Linked DNA regions of Saccharomyces cerevisiae S288C. Changing the gene in region 1 together with any one later gene gives a genetic interaction. Each region holds a gene or a part of one and is shown in the gene's direction. Other genes may lie near its edges.

What was found.
Region 2: mutations in FMP30 (region 1) and YBR238C together harm fitness more than expected from each alone (negative genetic interaction), as found in Saccharomyces cerevisiae (2 studies listed by BioGRID).
Region 3: mutations in FMP30 (region 1) and MIC19 together harm fitness more than expected from each alone (negative genetic interaction), as found in Saccharomyces cerevisiae (2 studies listed by BioGRID).
Region 4: mutations in FMP30 (region 1) and IZH3 together harm fitness more than expected from each alone (negative genetic interaction), as found in Saccharomyces cerevisiae (2 studies listed by BioGRID).

The regions. Positions count from the first base shown.
Region 1 is NC_001148.4:357,500-361,725, reverse strand, and holds FMP30 (N-acetylphosphatidylethanolamine-hydrolyzing phospholipase D), read left to right. Parts: upstream 1-2,319; coding exon 2,320-3,726; downstream 3,727-4,226. Other genes in the region: Elongator subunit ELP4, read right to left, coding at 147-1,517; aspartate--tRNA ligase MSD1, read right to left, coding at 4,050-4,226. UniProt on the Saccharomyces cerevisiae protein: Hydrolyzes N-acyl-phosphatidylethanolamines (NAPEs) to produce N-acylethanolamines (NAEs).
Region 2 is NC_001134.8:693,462-700,025, reverse strand, and holds YBR238C (uncharacterized protein), read left to right. Parts: upstream 1-2,723; coding exon 2,724-4,919; downstream 4,920-6,564. Other genes in the region: ERT1 (Ert1p), read left to right, coding at 83-1,672; DEAD-box RNA helicase PRP5, read right to left, coding at 5,508-6,564. UniProt on the Saccharomyces cerevisiae protein: May be involved in the processing or stability of mitochondrial mRNAs.
Region 3 is NC_001138.5:166,246-171,169, reverse strand, and holds MIC19 (Mic19p), read left to right. Parts: upstream 1-3,911; coding exon 3,912-4,424; downstream 4,425-4,924. Other genes in the region: IOC3 (Ioc3p), read right to left, coding at 1-1,248; YFR012W-A (uncharacterized protein), read right to left, coding at 1,860-1,946; DCV1 (Dcv1p), read right to left, coding at 2,674-3,282; ubiquitin-specific protease UBP6, read right to left, coding at 4,604-4,924.
Region 4 is NC_001144.5:184,844-190,579, reverse strand, and holds IZH3 (Izh3p), read left to right. Parts: upstream 1-3,450; coding exon 3,451-5,082; downstream 5,083-5,736. Other genes in the region: putative ubiquitin-protein ligase UBR2, read left to right, coding at 1-2,917; guanine nucleotide exchange factor SDO1, read left to right, coding at 5,654-5,736. UniProt on the Saccharomyces cerevisiae protein: ADIPOR-like receptor involved in zinc metabolism either by altering membrane sterol content or by directly altering cellular zinc levels.

The DNA.
Region 1 (4,226 bases):
TCCAGCTGCCACCGCTTAGAGTCAGGAAAAAGACGATGGATATATATATAATAGTCGTATTTAAGATATAACAGATAAAAAAATAATACATTCACCACGCTTGTTAAAAAGCATGCCGTATATTTCCCATAAATTGAACCATATTCTTAATAGTCTAAAGATATCTTGGTCTTCTTTGCAGGTATATTATGTGAGATTTCATCCGAGTGCGAGTGTGAATGTGACTGTTCCGAGGCAGCTGAACCTTCAGCATCATCCACGGGTATGCCCCATTGTTCTATTTCAAACTTTTTTCTGCCATTCTTAAATGCCCATTCAGACTTTAAAACTCTCATCTCTCCACGGTCCGTGAAAACTGGTAATTTCAATATGTGGACTAGCCCATGTTGAATCTTCCCCGGTTGCGATTTATAAACACGTTCTAAGAACTCAGTCATCTCCTGGTTAAAGGGTTCTAGATTGATAACAGAATCGAACATGTTTCTCAGCAATACCAGTAATGGGGGAGTGATAATGTCTATGGATATGGAAGCAAACAGTACAACCCGCTCATAGTATTTCTTGACAAGACTCCTCACACCGTGCATTAAACCTATTATTTCAGATGATTCAAACATTTTGGGCGGATACATTGCCGGATGTAGAAGGGAAGGAATAACAATTCTTATCAGTTTCTTGTCATTCCTTTTAATAGTCTGTTCTATTTGGCTCAAAATAGTGGAGACAGGTTGAGTTGGGGCGATAAATGTCAGTTCAGATGCTATGGGAGCGGGCATCAGACGCGTTGTAATATCAAACTGATGATTGTAGTCCTTGTACTCAGAATTTTGTTGGATGTCATCTCGATCCGGAGAACCCAATCTCTTTTCATCTGCCAGTTTATATTTCCATGCAATTTTCAGGTCTTTGTACCTGGAAGGCGTCGATCTCTGGGTCTCGTTCAAATTTTGAACAGTAACTTTTGATTCTTCTTCAGAGATTAGGTTTTTCTTCATTTGTTTACGTGATCCCTTGTAGATACCAGGTAGCTCCTTTGCAAACATTTGGTTCAATGACAAGACAATGACATGAGTGTCGCCGTTTCTAGTTTTATCAGCACTGCTATCTGAAATTCTATTATGAACGATACCCTGTGCGGCAAACAGTTTACCGAGAATAGAGTGAAATTCTGTCGTGCTCTGCTCCTCTACTAGTACAGAGTTTCCCAGCGGCAGCCCCATATGGCCTAGTATACTGTCCAGGTCAGCACTCCCAGTTGATGTCGTCGGCTGAGAGGTTGCAGGAGAAGGTCTAACGCCCACATGGGAGCTATCCAGCCCCATTTTTGTCTTGGATTCGTCCGCAATATTCAACTTCTTTAATCTCGCTGTAGTGTCAGACAAGGGCACATTTCCAGGGGCTCTTCTGTTGCCTGTCCTCAATGGCGTTGAGGAAGTTCGTGGAGGACCTCTTAACAGTGGACCTCTTAGCCCGCTACCTCTATCGTTCAGTATTTCACCTCTTTTACGAAATGACATGGTACATGCGATATTTGGGAGCCGAATTTGTTATACAATGTTGTTCTCTGCACCTCATCTCTAAACTATCCAGCCTCATCGACATCTTCATATGTCGTTTTTGTTATTTTAACAGTTTAGAGTTCATTCCATGCGCTTTACCCGGTCTGGCGTCAAAAGCCATCAATAACATAGCTACTATTGCGTCTGAGAGAAGTCGACCATAGGGAAGAACTTGCCATCTGGTTTTGAGTTAGTTAGAATTATCACTATTGAAGATAGCCCAGCAAAATGCTTGTGCAAGAAAGCACATCGTCTAGTGGCCTTTTTTGAAGAAAGAATTGGAACTACTTTAGAAATACATTTACCACAGTGAGTATATGACACTGATATTCTCCTTGATTATCGCCCAAAATACATTGTAGGCTTCAAAAAGATTAAAATATCAATTAAAAGAGAGAGAATAAATAGGTTAAGGCCCAAATTACAATAGCGGCCTCCTATTTGTCTTTTCCATTCGATGCGATATTTATCAGTATTATATGAGAACAAATGGTGGTATTATAAAAAAAAAATATTATAATGAGATATATGTCTGATTTTAATAATAAACTTTTTAGCTAATGATTCCTTCTGCGTTCATTTTCTGAATATTATCAACAGCTGCTAGTTTTTTTTTTCCTTTACTGTCGTTAAGCAGTTCCCGAAGACTCACTACTGATGCTTAACAAAAAAAAAAAAACGTAGTTCGAGAATAGCGAGAATATGGTGTGAACAGTAGCACTCCAATTACTGAAGGATTGCATGCCTGCTTGTGTTGCAAATGAATTTTGTTACCTGCCATGTTCAGATGAGGCTTCTTCTCCAAAGGAGACTAGTGCGTTTACGAGAATCAGAGCTGTTTAGACCCCAGACATCATTGTCAACTTTCAAAAGACATGCTTCGCAAAAGACACGCCCTATACAAAAATGCTCGAGAAAATACGCACGTATACTTCTGTTGTCTGTTTTGGTACCTTACACAGGATATGCGTTTTATGTATCATTGGCTACAGTGAAGCAAATTGATTTAAGAAACGAAATGTGTCAAAGATTAGAGGAGAATAATAACGAGGTCACTTATAAGGGATCCTTGCTAAAATATAGCCCTTTGGAAGTTTTAGGCAGATTTGAGAACCCGTTCGAAGAATACAGGATTCAGACCGTTTTTGAATTCTTTGCAAATAGAGTGTTCGAATTATTTGAAAGAAATAGGGGAGGTATTCCACGTGATGTACACCAAATGAATAAGTTAATGCCTGTACACAAGCCAACATGGGGGCCTAACTTAGTGGACGTCGACCCCGCAGAGGAAACGGCATTGCCGCTAGAATGCAAAGTGTTAGACGAATTGCACATACCGACTGCAGTAGAAGAAAATGAAGGATCAAAGTGCCCAGTCTATAACACATGGCTGGGCCAGTCCTGTAACTACACGGTTTATAATGGATTGAGGATACTTACTGATCCTCTGTTCAGTGACTTTCTTATCCACAAGACCCTGGGTCCTAAAAGAATTACTCAAATGCCATCTCAAATTACAGAGGTGCCCAAACCAGATATCATCCTTGTATCCCATAATCACCCCGATCACCTGGATTTAGAAAGCTTGGAATACTGGAGTGGCAAAGACTCTCCCTTATGGATAGTACCTAAAGGAATGAAATCTTATATGACAAGTAACGGCTGTGATAATGTCCTAGAATTATCTTGGTGGGAAACTTTGCAAGTAAAGAAAAACAATGAGATATACCACATATCGGCTACTCCTGCCATGCATTGGTCTGGGAGATCGCTCTTAGATACGAACAAGTCTCTATGGTGCTCCTTTTTATTAACACACCATGGTAATCCCATACTTTTTCATGCTGGTGACACTGGATATGTGAAAGATTTATTCGTTAGAATTAAAGAACGCTTTGGCAAAGGTTGTAAATTAGCGCTGCTTCCATGTGGTCAGTATTGCCCTGAGTGGCACCAAAAACCACGACATATTAATCCTCAAGAGGTTCTCAAGATTATGAAAGATCTAGAAGCTCGAAATGTATTAGGCGTTCATTGGGGGACCTTTGTATTAAGCGGAGAATATTTCTTAGAGCCAAAGGAAAAATTAGAAATGTTGGCCGAGTGGGGTGGGTTTAAAGACCGCTGCTACTGTCCAGAATTGGGCAAGACAGAATGCTTCGACTAACTTAGGCGCTAATATTTAAGCTGCAGCGTCCCTGTAAATAGCGATAAATTACAGTAAACGTAGACTTTGGGAGATTGTACTCACTGAACATTTTATGATTTAATGATTTTGTAATTTAAAAACATTCGTATGATATCCAATAAGATGTTATAAAGAAATTACAATTAATGTTGATAAAAAATCAATTCAAGTAATGGATATCGATTTGTTATTTCATCTCTTCATATACAAGGCAAACAAAATAGGTATAATATTTACAAGAAAAACCTACATACTGCAGCCACACTAAGATTCTCTCACATCTAGGTAACATCAACTTCTGCTCATTTTTTTGAATTACTATACTTGATATTGTAAGGTTCCAGAATGCTTTCAGGTATCACACTTGGACTCTTGACAACCAAATCAGCCCCGGTAATACTTTTTGGGAAGGCGATTACGTCCCTTATACTCTCAGTTTCACAGATCATAGCGCACATACGATCAAAACCAATAGCAAA
Region 2 (6,564 bases), on another chromosome or scaffold:
TCTTGAGCTATTTTTATCATTTCTTTTGGGTACAACAGACACACGAAGGTATAAAAATAAAATACATTGATGAATCATCGTGATGTGCACTCCAGATGAAAACGATTACAAAACATCAACTGACCCAGATACATCTGCAAATACAAATCATACTCTCGAAAAAAAGAAGAGAAAAAAGAGAAAAAACACAAACGTGGCATGCGTGAACTGTTCGAGATTGCATGTGTCATGTGAGGCCAAAAGGCCATGCTTACGATGTATCAGCAAGGGCCTCACGGCTACATGCGTTGACGCTCCAAGAAAGAAAAGCAAGTACTTGGCTGGAATACCGAATAGAGAGCTCCCAATGAACATACAACCGGACCTTCCACCCCGCAAGATCATGATACCCATTTATAACAACTCCAGCAATAGTAGCCTCAACGTAAATAACATGGGAGAACAGCAAAAATTCACCAGCCCACAACATATAGTTCACAAAGCTAAATTCCTATCGAATGCTGCAGATTCCGAGTACTCTATTCTGTCGAATATCATCTATCAAGACACATTGTCTAACAAGATCCCTATTGACATCCTGTACTCCAACACCAATTCCACATCCAACTCCACAATAGGCAATAGCAGTAACAATAGCCCTACGGGCACAAATACAAGCCCTGAAGAAACAGAAATGGAGAAAATTCGCCAGTTGTACAGCGAACAGCGAGCAAACATACCCCCACATCCGTATCCATCTTCCAATCAAAACGTTTATTCTATTCTACTGGGACCAAATTCAGCCAAGATTGTAGCTTCGCAAGTTAATCTTTTCGCGAACCATTTCCCCTTAGTGCCCGTTGATTCAGCTGATAATTCCTTAAACTTTAAAAGATTATTGCCACGGGACCCATCTGAAAAGAGCTCCCAAATTAATTGGGACTCAAGCATAAACCAATATTACTTGAACAGCGAAACGGTAACATTTCCCGAGTTGGCTATCCCCTTAAAGCGGAGGAAAAACCATTTGGTCTCTGTATCCCTGGAAAGCTGTTCACCAGACGCTGCCAACATCAAGAGCAATGTAGAATGGGAACATTCATTACGTTATTCTACTCCAATGGAAATATACACCTCCATAAATGCCCCCTTTTCGCATACACCTGGATTCCACCATCTTTTGGTGTACCTAAAGCATCGATTCAACCAGCAGGATCTGGTGAAGATGTGTCGGTCCATTGCCGAATTCCGGCCCATTTTCATTGCGTGTTCTGTAACTTTAACCGAGGAGGACATGATTTTTATGGAGCAATGCTACCAAAGAACTCTATTAGAATATGTAAAATTTATTGCACAAATCGGTACCCCGACATGTATTTGGCGAAGAAATGGTCAAATTTCTTATGTCAACGAGGAATTTGAAATTCTATGCGGATGGACAAGAGAGGAGCTACTAAACAAGATGACTTTTATCGTAGAGATCATGGACGATGAAAGTGTACGCGATTACTTCAAAACGCTCTCTAAAGTTGCATATAGGGACTTCAGAGGATCTGAGAAGATGAAAGTTTGCAGGCTCTTAAGCCCCATCAAGGGCAAGATAATTCATTGTTGCTGTATGTGGACATTAAAAAGAGATGTCTCTGGTTTGCCCCTCATGATCTTGGGTAACTTCATGCCCATACTCAATTGACTTTTTTTTTCTTTTTTTCTCATTTTACTACCTCGTATTATATAATACCTATGCATAGACCAAAAGTAAGTCAAGAACTGTGTTCTTTTAAAAGTGTTAACAGATTCCAGCAATTTTACTTGAAGCCTTGACCAGTTTCGTAGGCGTCTGCTCATTCTGGTCGATATCCAGAGGCTCGAGCACATATAACGAAGGGCCCCTATTGTGTATATGGCGGCCTTTACGAATCTTCCGATATTGGGTAGCTCCGTTTTTCTTCCCTTTTTTTTTTTTTTTTTCTTAAATTTCTTCTTCTTTTTTTGCTCTTCGTTTTATTTCACTCACCTGTTGTCGAAAAAAACATCAGGCGTATACCATCAAAAAACTCAACCAATTGAGCTAGTTTCACTTTCTGTACGCATGAGTTTCCAATGTCTCACAGGGCATGTCTCACACACCACCGCCTTCCACCTTACATAACGAACTGCGGAAAAACAGCATGCCACATGGTACCTAACTGGAAAAATAGCAGCAGTCCTCTTCATATTGTTTGCTTCGTTGTTCATTTTCTCGAAAAATTTCTCTTCTTTTCTTGCCTTGATAATATGTAAAAAAGCTTAAACTTTCAGGCAACTTTTCCCATATTGTTTTTCCGTGTGAAGGGACGAGTGCCTGCAGTGAACTGCTCGTACAAGAGAGGCAATTTCATAGATCCTCTGATTCTGCGGTAATTTCTCAGAGGACAGCACTCTGCACGAGCTTTGTGTGTGCACCAAAAGAAACGGGTTTCTTTCGGAGAAAAAAAGAAAAGAAAATTTTTTCAACCTTGCTCAAGTTATGCCATGGACATCTCGAAGAAAGTCAAAATAAGGCAATAAAGAAACTTTGTCGTTCAGCACTGAAGTTACATATCGCATTGGTTATATCTATAGAAACCCTTTTCCTTTCATTCTTCTCTCAGTTTTTTTTCTTGAATACAGTACGTTCTATAGTTGGATCGAGGTTTTAAAAACGTGTGATTAGCTTGATATTTCTTACTCTAATTGCTTTTCTATCTTGCAAATCTGATCCTATGATCCGTTTAGCTCAGCAAACACAAGTACTGAAGGGCAAACCCCCAAACCAGTTTGTTCCACATCCGACAAAGAATTCGCTGACTCATCCAATGAAATTTAACGGTACAATCGCTATGGAGCACCATGAACACAACTATGCCATTCCTTACACGCCTGCTACTTTTAACAATCCAGCCCTCGCTACTTATCAGGTAAGCCCAGCCAACCATTTTGTTCCTCACTTTGGTGGCAACATTGGAGCCAACAACAACAATCATCTAGCTCAGAATAACAGCAATAATAGTAACAACCATCATAACAATAACCGTAATCATCACCACAATAACAATCGTAACCATCATCAAAATAACCATAATCATAGCAAGTATAATAACTCCAATCAAGGTAATTCAATTAGCCCAGACTCCCCATGGTTTCATAAGGTTTGTGCCTTCGAAGATTGCGTTTCACAGACTCTTTATATGTCACAAACTCCAAGGCGTCAAAACATGAAACACCATTCAGAACATCCAAATTCTAACGCTAATCCATTATTTTGGGATTCTATAGGTAGAGCAATGGGGCTGTATCATGATCTACTCACTACACCGGAATTAAATTCTGATCGTGTCTCCAAGCTTGTACATTTACTTCACAATGGGTTGAGAGCTAATAGAAATCAGTTGACGAGAATGAACAAGAAACCTGATTACGACTCTCAATCCTTTCACAAAGAAATGACAAACTATCTTTGCAAATCTTTGAGAGAGATCTCCGAAGACGTTCTAAACGGCAAGGTCGAACTGAACGAATACGGTGCTATGCATTTGATAACTGCGTTTAAGGAGCTTTTGTTGTTTGAGGAAGCTGTCGACATATGGAAAGCTGCAATCAATGGGCAAAATACCTACACATCTAATATTTTTCTGAATCCAAGAGTTGTCGGTGTTATATTACCCATCTTATACGACAATGGTGTCTCTTATCCAGAAATTCAAGCTCTATATGAAAAGTCTTCATCGATGATTAATTACTTCCATCCAAATCTTTCAGTTGGGATGATCAGAGCCTCTTTATCTGCTAGTGAAAATGACATGGCTCTCAAATTATTCCAAAAATTATGCCAAGAATCAACCGAAATGAAATACGGTTATTTGATAGAAACCCATCTTTCCTTCATTGGTGAATGTAAAGACTTGAATGTGGCTCAAACCTTTTTTGACAAGGCTTTAAATGATGAAATGCCATACAAGATAGACTTGCAAGTTTCCTACGTGAAATCCTTTTTAAGAAACATATGGAGCCAAACCCGTGATTTCAACCACATCTATCAAATCTGGTACAAGTCTTCTTTACATTATGGTAGAAACGTCAACCACGGTATTTCTTCATCTTTGAATGACACTTTTTTCGACATTTTTTTTGAAAATTATGCTGTGGACAAGATGCAAGGTTTTCAAACTTTACAAAATATTATTCAAACTTACAACAACATCAAGCATATAGATGAACCTTTCTTTAACATTATCTTGGCTAAATGCACTGTCTGGCATGACCGCAGTATTTTAGAATACATCGATAAGAGTTACGAGGCGTACCACATTCCAAAAACAATAGTCGCTTATAGAATCTTATTAAAGTCTATGGGATCTGTCGATGATGCTTCGAATGCAGAAATTCTCCAAAGATGGATGGATTTAATCCGCAAATCAGATGAAATTGGTCAAAGATTTATTGCCAACGCAGATTGGGCGGCCTTAAGAGATGCTACTGTAACATGGACCCAAAATGATAGAGATTCCAAGAAAAGTAACATGAACAGCACTCAAATAAGCAGAACCGCAACTCCTTCGCCATCCTTAACTCCAATGGATACTCCAGCACCAGAGCATTTGTTCAACAATCCTCAAAATCCAATGGACTTCTACTCTCATCCAGCATTGCAAGCAGCAACTGCTTCTGGTGCATTTGATGAATTTGCTGCGGAGGCTGCTTCTTCTTCCATACCAGTTGACGGCAGAATGGTTTTGTATTTGAAAATTGTTAAACGTTACTCTCCATATTGCCGTGATTCCAGACAACTAGCCAGATTAACAACAGGGACCGCTGTCAAATATTCCGTTTTGCAAGAAGTTTTGAACCAATTCCAAACTTTAATCGTTAACGATATTCCTATTCCTGAATTACATAATTTGAAGCCAACGTGTGTTTAAAGTTAATATCCTTCACTTTTCACCTTCTTTCTCTACAGAACAAAAAAAGAAAGAAGAGTAACAATTTCAAATTTATATTCCCTATGAATTGATGTGATAAACTTACCATTATTAATATTATTATTCGATTGTCAGTTTTTCCCTTCCTTATTTTTATCGTTATTTCATTATTTTTTATTTGTCATATCACATCTCAAATCAACTAAAAAACTATTATTATATTCTTCAAGCCTACCATTTTCTTGATAAATTTTTTTGAAGTTACTTTTATTCCATGTTTTGTTTTTATTTGCTTTTCTACTTTTATTTTCCCCTCTTAATTTTTTTTTAAAGCATTTACCTTTCATTATATCCTATGAATTCTCATTGTTTCTTTCCCACTTTTTTAAATTCCATTTTATTCGAATCGATAAAAATTTCAAGATTTTTTTCTACATCATATATTATATATTATTTTGTTTTTATTTTTCCTAATAATTCTCTTTTTTTTTTTTTATTATGATTGAATATGCTTTAAATTACCACCCTAAAAATTTCAGAACTAACTACGAAAGTATATAGCACCACGAGTGAGTTAAATTCTAAAAACTAGTATTTAGTACTCTTCAAAGACAAGCTTGCAGCCTTTACGACCCCCTCTTTAACTTTTTGCTCCAGCAATTCTATACTTAATTGTATGTCTTTCTCATCTTGGCCTTCGATCAATAAGTATAGTTTAGGCTCATCGTTTTCATTCTTTGGTTCCTTCCCTTCAGGGTAAAATTTACCCTTGTTAGTAATACTACATCCGGTTTCATGCTTGATAAATAATAAGGTTGTATTCTTTGTAGCCTCCCATCTTACAATCTGGGGTAAATCATTAATATAAACCTTGGCGTAAAAGATGATCGACCCGTCTGTAGACTCTTTGAATAGTTCATAATTGAGTCTCGGAATAAGCGCAGAAGACTCAGACACACTGTCATGCCCTTCGCGTGGATTGCTGATTTTCTTTTCCAAGTCATCGCTCCTCTTATCATTCTTTTTGAGCTCCAAATCTTTATTTTGAGCTTCCTCTCTTTTACTTTTGATATTTTCCAGTCCTTTGCCGCCGAACCCTTTCGACAACCTAAACTTACCCTTTTTCATACCGGATTCAAACTTGGCACTCATTTCCTGAAGTTCTTTTGCTTGCAGAGGGTCTAAAGCTTTTATTTCTTCATCGCGCATTGCCTTGCTCAAGATATAAGCACCTGACAGTTCATCATGCAATAGAAGAGTAATAGCAGTACCGGAGCGACTACCTCTGGCAGTTCTTCCAGTAGTATGAACATATTGCGCGAAAGTTTTGACGGCGTTATAGATAATAACCAACGACACTTCGGGAACATTTAAACCTCTTGAGAGAACCTCTGTACAGAGAAGAATACTGTTCTTTTCTCGTTTGAACTTTTCTAAGTTCATAAGCCTTTCTTGATATGGCTTACCTGCATGAATAGCACAGGTCACAATTCCAGCATTTAACAGCTTTTTTGAAATGAAGTCGCAAATATTCTGACTTGATACAAATATAATGGCTTTAGCATCAACTTCTTCAACATCGCTTGACTGTCCGTCATTTTCACTTTGAACCTCGTCAAAAAATTCACTGCGCTCATGGATAAGC
Region 3 (4,924 bases), on another chromosome or scaffold:
ACCATGAGTTAATTTGTATATCTCGTCATGAATAGCAGATGAATGGGAAGCGCACCAGTCAGTTAACGCCCTCAATAAAACAACGCGATCCATTGGTTTGAGCGCCAAAATTCCATTCTTGTCCATTTCTCGATTATACAAAGGATTTGATTCCAATGGGAGTGGTTCATTAGCATTCCAGGTATATATATTTGGCGTTAAAATTTCTGGATGACTGGGATCCACCACTGGTGTTTGTTCATCTTGTTCAAAAAGAGCAGTTTTAGGTTTGGAGATATCTTGGTCACTGGGGAGTTGTTGACGCCATTCTCGTGGATACCCCCATTCGCGAGCTACAAGTCTTAACCGATAAAGAGGATTGGAAAATACTTTCTTGGAGGACGATTTTAGATTCTCCCAGGTTGTTAATGGACCTTTCTTCTTGGCACTTTTACCATCAAAATTTTCAGTAAATGTTAAATCTAACAAGGATAGGAACAGTAAATTCATTTTGTCTTGGCAATAGACGATATCCTTGATGGCCATAAAATCAGGATATAGCAATAAGGAGGTGTCTTCAGGACCCTTCACTATACCAGCTGCGCTTCCATTAGGATCGCCGGGATACAAATCTAAACCGACCTCAAAATCTTGGAATGATAAATTTTGTAGGTCAGAATGGAAAAAAGAACTAAACTTATTTATGAACGCCATCAGCTTAATGATATCTCCAGCATATGGCACAGGCTTCATGTTCGGATTTTTTAACCTAGAGATGACACTATACTGGTTCTTGAAATCAGAAGTAAGCAAGGGTATTACAGAAGTCCAATTGCTAGGGATCAAAGCGGGTTCTACTTGTTCATGGGCTGGTTTAGGTTTCGGCGCCACTTTTTTGTCATTAGTCTTCAGTGTAGGTTTGCCATCCTTAGCAATTGAGGTAGTCTTCTTTTTCTCTACTTTATCATTTGATTTAGAGTTCTGTGTGGAAGGTGCCTTTTTCTTAGGAGGAGCAGGTCTCTTCCTCTTGGGTTTATTCGCCCTTTCCTTTAACTCTTCCTCGTATTCATCATAAATGCTCGTTCTTGGCTTAGGAACACGTCTTGATCTCCTTAAATTATCAGAAGATTGTGAAACACTAACACTTTGATCGGTTTGTAAGGGCATAGCCATTGATACGCGATCATGATCATGGTCAGCAAGCTGTGCGGAAGAGCTGCCCTGGGCTTCTTGCTGCAAATTCTGGATAGAATTGGATGGAGAATCCATAAACAATAGGGGATTGCAAACTTTGCTTGAAGTACTTGGTAAGTGATAGTTTTGTTGGCCGAAACCAATGTGGAAGATATCACCATCTTAAGAAATTAAGTCCATTCATTAGTATAAACTCACGTAATTTCAATGAATTTGTTAAAGTTTCAGCAAATCGTGAAGCACGATATTTCACTTTTATGATCCGAGAGGGAATATTACTAGTACTTCCACGCATAAGGAAAGTCAATGTTAACAAATACCGCCATACCGCCATACCTGTCCTCTGTAGTCACTGCTAATGTTAATGTAAATAAATTACATCTAAAAGTTGTTTTCTCTTCAGTAATTTTAGAAACCGTTAAGAGGAAAAATGGGCACTTCCTTTCTTTGTTTCAGAAATTAAGCTCAAAAAGATGGGCTCGATAAAAGTAGCATACTATTTACTCTATCTTATTTTTATTTTCTATATACTAGTCTATCAGACTCAGACGTCAACGATGTGGAATACGGATGGAATCATTAAATAGTAGCAAGAAGTACTTTATTCTTATTTTTCAAATTGCGGCGCGCCAACAAAACGCGTACAAAAAAAGCAGATTGGATAGTACTTTATTCTTGTTATTTTGTCATTGGAAAGTATAAGCTGGTTGTGGATTACTCTTCACACGATGTGCCTGTTTTTTGTAGGCGGGCTTGTACTTTCTGGGGAGCATGCTGTGTATGTTGTAGGTCTGTGGCAATGTTTGTCGGGAGTGTTCGCTGTTACCATGAGTTGTCTGTGAGTAGTAGCGATTGTAATTGTGGTTGTATCCTACTGGTCTTCTTCGGGAATACCAAGGAATGAAAGAGTTATGAGGAACCTCACTTTGATCCTGGTAATTATTTGGTTGTTGTAGTTGATATTGGCGGGGCTCTGTGAGACAATGATTTTTTTTTGAATATATTTTAAAGCAATCGGCTGATTGGGTAGCCTCAACGCCAAATAACCAAGGAGGGTCGTAGTTATCTTGTGAATGGCTTGAGATTCCCTCATAATATAAAATATTTGCCTTTTTTTTTTCAGTAGGCATTTCCACATTTTCTTGCTTTGCAGGTAAGTCGGTTATATTGATTTCATCCAAAGATAAGGATTTTTGATTTTCAACATGCCTTCTAGAAAATATTTGTTTACCATTCAACTTTGGAGCGAAGAAACTCACCAAACCTGCTTGCTTCAATGGAGATTTGATTTCAGGCGGTGGTTCATCTTGATTTGTTACCGCCAGTTTATCTTGATTGGGATCTAAGGTCCTTGGTAGATCATTAAAAAGACTTGTGATGTCATACACAGATTGGTCTGTGCCCTTAGTTGTTTGTGGATAATTTTCGCCAAGGGAACTTGATGTTTGACTCGTTCCATATAGTTTGAGAATACTGTCTACGTTCTCTATACTAGCTTCTTTAGCTATGTTTTCTGTCTGACTGCGCAGACGTATCAAACCTAAAACTGAGAAAATGCACGCCAATAACGAGCAGAGGGAACAGGGAACAGTTAGCCAGCCACACCAAGTCGTATAAGGATGAAATTGTAACAGGATCACGGTGCATGCAAAGTAACAGGATCACGGTGCATGCAAAAATAGTTGATAAAAGTGTCAATATGTGTAATATAGCGTTGGAAGTAATAAGTGAGACATTAGTTCCTCCAGTCTGAAAAAGAAAAATAATAACCAAGGGAAGTGCAAAAGAAATGAAAGTCAAACATGTAGCAACCGGTATCGAAATCAAAAGTCCTCCTATTGTATGTCTTGCCTTAGGACTCAGCCACCAACGTTCAAGAGAAGGGCCAGGTAATATTTCTTTCGAGGTGTTATATATTAAACGTACTCGAGAGCAGGAAAAAGAATTCAAAGTTTTACAGTAACCAAAGGTACCATATGAAACTCCAGCAGCTTGAGCCAGCCCCCAGTTTCTAATTATTGGTGAAGTTAAACAACATATCATAAAGCCAGAAAAAGAGATTAATTGTAGGAAAGAGGAAAACAATAAAATCAATTTATAATTTAGCATCAATTATTGAATATGGTACCAAAAAAAAAAAATTAGCAAAAAAAGGCAATTTTCTCACCTTCTTGTAATTATTACGCGTAAGGACAGATCATAAAAGTGTATTTCATCCTCAATCATCAATTAAATAATTTATTTATTAACATTCATATATATTTATATTTTCGTTTGCAATTTCGCAATTTTAATATGTCACAAAAAAAGCGCCCACAGAATTATCAAGAAGACCAACCAAATCAATAATAAAATTCGGCAAATAACATTATTAGATTTTTCATGAGATTTAAGAAATACTTGTTCTGTTGTTTAACTGATGGTTTATTACTTATATTTAAATATTGAAAGCTGCAAGATTTAAAAAAATATCTCCCGGGGGCGAGTCGAACGCCCGATCTCAAGATTTCGTAGTGGTAAATTACAGTCTTGCGCCTTAAACCAACTTGGCTACCGAGAGTCGTTTTTGTTGTAAAAAACTACGAATATTCGTGGTATGTCGCATATATATATATTTCTTCTTCCAATGAGACGCAGAGGAAAAAACAAGTGAGGAGGAACATTTCAAAGAGATTGCTAATCAAAAAAAAATTCAAGAACAAAAACAAGGTGGTATATCGACTAATACAGAGTCAATCATGGGTTCAAACACTTCCAAAGTGGGTGCTGGTGCAGAAAAACAACAAGTCTATACTCCGCTAACACAGATCGATTTTTCACAGTCTTTGGTTTCTCAATTGGATTCATCGAAGGAATCAGACTATGTCACCAAGCAAAATGCAGAAAAGTTCATTGAGAAGAAGGTTTCACAAAGGCTATCTAACCTAGAAGTTGAAACGTTAAAGAAGTTTGAAGATACTTTGAACAATTCACTATTATCAGACGACGACAAGGATGCCGTTGATGGAATATCATCAAGTTCATTGAATAATCAAATCGAGTCGTTGAACAAGAAACTAACATTATTTGATCAATTAGAGTTACAAAAGTTGGAGAAATATGGGGGTGCCAAAGGTAAATCTGATAAAAAAACCGACAACGGCAGCATTTCTATAAAGGCAAAATTGACTGAGTGTCTTTTGGCCAATAAGGGCAAGCCATTGAATTGTTACGAAGAGATGGAAGAATTCAAGAAGCTCGTTATGGGTTGAATAAGAAAAAGTATACATAAACTCGACCAAAAAGAATTCGCCATTTCATGTATATAAAATGCATTTTTATCGATTGGCGGATGAACGTAAAAGGGAGAGAAATATTTTTATGTGTATGTAAAAAAATGTATATGTATATTCCGAAAAAACTATTAATTTTGAAAAAATGAAAAATGGACTTACAGACCAAATCCTTTATACATTAAGATCAGTGCACTATCACTTTCGCCCCCACCGGCTAAAGATTCAATTTTTTCCTTTTCAACAACGCTAACTTTATCATCATTAAATTTGTACCATTTATTTTCGTCCAGTTCGTCCCTTATGAAAGCTTGATAGTGTCCAGACTCAGAATTGGCACCTTGATGTGTAATGACACCGATCAAGTTATAAACACAAGATGGGTTTTCACCTTTTTCCAAGTTTGGAGGAAAATGTTTCTTATACTCTTCGAGCCATTGATCTTTTTCACTTTCGTTAAGAGCCACTTGTGTCTCATA
Region 4 (5,736 bases), on another chromosome or scaffold:
GATTCAATTGCTTACTGAAGTGAGATCATTGGTCATGAAATCATCAAAGGAAGGCTTCGAGAGAACGTTCAAATCAGAAATAATTCATGCCCTTTGCTTTGATACATGCTCTTACGCACAAATTGTTAACTGTATTCCAGAACATATCACCAAGCACCCTTCATTTGATATATATCTCGAAAAATACGCCAATTACACTTCTCCTGTAAGCTTGACTGACAATGGCATTTTCGTGTTGAAAGAAAAGTATAAAGATGAGATTGATCCTTATTATATAGGGTTGTCTTCCAGTAGGAGGTATGATGTAGAGAAAAATATCAGGCTGAATATGGCAAATTTGAAGAAAATGAAATATGAAGATACTTTTGTACCAGCAAAAAAGGTTAAAGATTTGTTGAAGAATACATTATTTTCTGGGCTGTATTCAATATCATCAGTGAATACTTTTGGTTTATTTTTGAAAAATACTTTAGATCACATTATAAAATATGATTATGACAATTTATTGCCGAGAGTGGTTCATTTGATTCATTTATGCGTGGTTAATAATCTGAATGAATTTATGGGGATACTGTGGCATGAATACGCAATTGTGGACACAGAATTCTGTCATTACCACAGCATTGGTTCTATCCTGTATTACTGTTTGTTGAAGGATAATTTTTCGGAATCTCATGGTAAGATTAGGGAAATTTTCAGGTATTTAATGGAAACAGCGCCTCACGTAAATGTAAACAGTTATTTGAGGGAGCAAACCACGTCATATACACCAGGAATATTGTGGCCTACAAAGGAAGATAAAAGCCACAAGGATAAAGAATTTGAAAGGAAAAAACATCTTGCTCGATTGAGAAAGAAAAAATTAATGAAGAAGTTGGCTCAACAGCAAATGAAATTCATGGAAAACAATAGTGTAGATACTTCCGATATTAGTACACCCAGAACCACATCACCTAGTTTATCTCCCACTAGAATAAATGCAGAGAATAGTAGTAACACAATCAACAGTTGCTGCGATGATGATTGCGTATTTTGCAAGATGCCGAAGGATGACGATGTATTTGTTTATTTTTCATACCAAGAACGGAACATATGTGATCATGGAATTGATTTTACGAATCCTACAGATGTTAATAGAATAAATTCGCTGTTCAGTGGTAAGCAAACAAAAGACAGTGCAATCCAAGAAAACCCCCAGGATGATGATGGAACGAGATTGAAATTTACTAGCTGTGAACCAGTATTAAGAGCATGCGGGCATGGGTCTCATACCAAATGTTTAAGTGGCCATATGAAGTCGATTCGCGGAATACAAAACCAAACTACAAAAAATATTCCATTATCGTATGGTTCAGGGTTGATATATTGTCCCGTATGCAATTCCTTAAGTAATTCATTTCTACCAAAAACAAATGATATAGATAAGAGAACTTCGAGCCAGTTTTTTATGTGTATTGAAAAGCGAAGTGAAGCGGAAGAAAACCTTGACCCAATGAGCTCTATTTGTATTAAAGCAGCGATGATTCTAGGTGATCTTCAGGGTAAAAAAGTCACGACTATCGAAGATGCATATAAAGTTGTTAATAGTGTTTTTATTAATACTATTTCAAATACTGAGCTCAGATTAAGATCGCACAAAAAGGAAGGAAAAATAGTGAATATGGAAAGAATATCCAGTCAGTGCATTTTAACCTTACATTTAGTTTGTGAGCTAAAGTCGTTTATTTACAAAAAATTTGTTAATTCAAAAACATTCAGCAGCGAAATCTCTCGTAAAATATGGAATTGGAATGAGTTTCTAATAAAGGGTAATAATGTGAATCTACTTTTGTATATGAGTCAAAATTTTGATAATATTGATGGAGGAAAAACCCCGCAACCGCCTAACCTATGTATCTATGAAATGTTCAAAAGAAGGTTCCATCAACTACTACTGTTGCTTGCAAGAGATATGATGAGAGTAAACTTTTACAAAGACTGTCGAAATAAAATCAAAATATCATCAAACGGATCTGAGGAACCATCGACAAGCTTTTCATATCTATTCAATACTTTTAAAAAGTATGTTGATCTCTTTAAACCAGACGACGTTCGGTTTGATTTTACAAGTTTAGAGAAAATTAAAGACTTTATATGCTCTCTATTACTAGAGTCATTGTCCATTTTTTGTAGAAGAACCTTCTTATTATTCAACATTCAGTATGATGATGATGGTGATGGTGATAATAATAATAACCGCAGCAATAATTTCATGGACGTCAAACAGCGTGAAATAGAGCTTATTTTCCGGTATTTTAAATTACCCAATTTAACTCACTTTTTGAAGGATTTTTTCTACAACGAACTAACACAAAATATAGAAAGGTATAATGATGGTAATGATAATTTGAGAATTCAGCAAGTAATATATGACATGGTGCAGAACATAAACACAAGAGCATATCCTTCACCAGAGCATATCCAGCTTATCGAACTACCATTGAACCTTTCCAAATTTTCCCTTGATAATGATGAAATATCGAATAAATGTGATAAATACGAAATCGCAGTATGCTTGTTGTGTGGCCAAAAATGCCATATTCAAAAAAGCATAGCACTGCAAGGTTATTTACAGGGGGAATGTACTGATCATATGAGAAATGGATGCGAAATCACCTCCGCTTACGGAGTTTTCTTAATGACCGGCACAAATGCGATATATCTGTCATACGGCAAAAGAGGTACATTTTATGCTGCACCTTATCTAAGTAAATACGGAGAGACCAACGAAGACTACAAATTCGGTACTCCCGTCTATTTGAATCGGGCGAGATACGCGAATCTAGCGAATGAGATTGTTTTTGGCAACATGATTCCGCACATAGTGTTCCGACTAACGGACGGCAGTGCAGATCTTGGTGGGTGGGAGACTATGTAGTTATCCAACAAATGTCTAGTCATTCAAAATTGCTACGAAATTAGCGTATCCGAAAAATCAAAAGAAATTTTATCTGTTTTAATTGGCGTGGGGAAGTGGGGTAGGGTCGAGGATCATTACGCTTTCTCGTGGGAAGGGACAGGGACGGACCGAAAAAAAAAGAAATGCCGCAGAAAAAGAAATGTTTTAGTGTGGGGTATGGGCTGAAGCTCGTATAGTGCAGGGTGACTTCACTTTTCTTTTTACCCTGCAGGAAATGGAGAAAGTGTTGATGGATAAGGTATATAGTCATAAGGTGACACAGCGTGGGTGTACATCTAGAAAGCTTGGCGATTCGAGCGAAGTGGTGGTTTACTCGTTTTATAATAAGAGTTTTTGGACATTATTTTTTCTTTAGGACACAGTTGATTCAAATTCTACACTTGTTTTGTCGTCTGGTAAAGTTTAGCCATTGTAAAGTGGACAAAGAAGAAGCTGCAACGCAGATAAGCTGAAAAATAGTTCACATCCCAACAGACAATCAAATTAAGTACATGATGGACTCGTCAAGCAAAAGCTTAACTCAGTATATACCCTCACCCATGGGATCTCTATCAAGGCTAAAGCAGAAGGGTGTGGACAATTTTCAGAAGGTGAAAAAATCCGGTAAATCCATCTATAATTACAACTACTCAAAATTCGTTCCTCATCCATTTTCAACTATTGATGAAAGTGTTAAACACTCTGAAAGTGGGCGGTATGATGATTTGGAGATAATTCGTCCAACAAAAGAAAAGGAAGTAACAAGTTCTGTGTACAAAAGAAACAGTGGCAAGTCTCTGAATACAGAATCTCAGTTTTCACTGGGAGATTCAGATGCAGCCACTTTGGTGAATTCAGTCGCTACTTTCAAGCTTAACAATGCTTCTACATCCACTTCACTGGTGTCTTCATCTTCAACTGTATGTTCTCAAGCGAAGTCCTCGTTACGTTCCCCAACAAGTCGTCTCAATGATACAAAAATCAAAGAGGAAAACAATTATATTTCCAGCGTGAAAGACTATTGCGGTCCAATGAGAAAATCCATGGTAAAGACGGAAATCCTCATTGAAGAACCTTTGAATCCTACTACCGATATCAAGTCTTTTATAAACTCATACAACCATGGCAAAGCGTATAGTCTAGGTGAAACTCAACATTTACATTATTATCAGTTGCCATTCCCATGGAGGGAAAACAGATACATAATCCATGGCTATAGGTTTTACAATACCCATTCCAAATCTTTGTTGTCTATCTTTAACTGGTACGGCTGGCATAATGAAACTTCAAATATTTGGTCTCATTTGTTAGGAGCCATTTATATAATCTACTTGGCAATTTACGATTTCCCTCAGTCTGAAGTTTGGCGGAATTCCCAGGTTCCACCACAGGCTAGATGGATTGTTTTCATGTTTTTGGCAGCTGCGTTGAAATGTATGCTAAGCTCCGTGTTTTGGCATACTTTCAACGGAACGTCCTTCTTGAAGCTACGTTCTAAATTTGCGTGTGTCGACTATAGCGGTATTACGATCTTAATTACAGCTTCGATATTGACAACGGAGTTTGTTACCATGTATTCATGTTACTGGGCGATGTACACTTACATGAGTATTTCTCTGGCGCTGGGTGTATTTGGTGTGTTTATGAATTGGTCGCCTCGCTTTGATAGACCTGAAGCAAGGCCATTAAGAATTAGATTCTTCATTTTGCTGGCTACTATGGGTGTATTGTCGTTTTTACATTTGATATTTTTGACTGATCTTCATTATGCTGCAACGCTATTTAGCCCCGTCACATACAAATCTGTTGTTTGGTATTTGGTTGGTGTGGTATTTTACGGTTCGTTCATTCCTGAACGGTTCAGATCTGACGTTCAGGTTGATAAGACCATTCCAACAAACTACGAATTATCTACTGATTTAGAAATCATCACAAAGCAAAGGGAAATTCATTTTAGAGAGGTGCCAACAGCCCATTCCAAATGCAGTTCCTGTCCGTCTCATGCCAAATCATTTAAATCTCTATGGTGGGTTGACTATTTTGGTTGTTCGCACACTTTTTGGCATTTCTTCGTAGTGTTGGGTGTCATCGGCCATTATAGAGCTATTTTAGATATGTTTGCCAAGAGGTGGATTTTGTCATGATGGTATGACTGACTACCTTTACTTACAACATCCTGCACTTTTTCTGTATACGATAAACGGACTTAAAAGAAAGAAAAGCCTACAATTACATTGTTGGAGAAGCCACATAGCAATTTCGAAAAAAACCAGAAATTGTAAACCACGAATTCTCCTGTATTATTTCATTGTTAAAATTTTTTTTTTACTTATATTATACCCATCTTTTTCGATATTCCTGCTGGCATTGTTTTGGCTACATTTTCAAGAAACTTTGGATCCAAAGACAAAAGGAACAAACGAAATCTAAAAGCAAAAAAAAAGTTGACTGATTATAAAAACTACATTACGACGAAAAGAAAATAATAAAACTGTGTACTTTTAGTTTTGCATTTATGTATTGACTGTTATTTAACTTATTATGACCTCATGAAAGAACAAAACTTAGCGTGTATTGTTCTGCTCAGTGCCTTGTATATATAATAATGTTCATGAAAAAATTTTTCTAGGCCGAACTTAAGTGATTTCATGCAGTAGTAAAAGTTTTTAAAATTTTTACTAAAATAGTTCTGAGAAAGAAAAGGTAAAACACGCAATGCCTATCAATCAACCGTCGGGACAGATTAAGTTAACTAATGTTTCATTAGTGAGATTAAAAAAGGCTCGCAAGAGATTTGA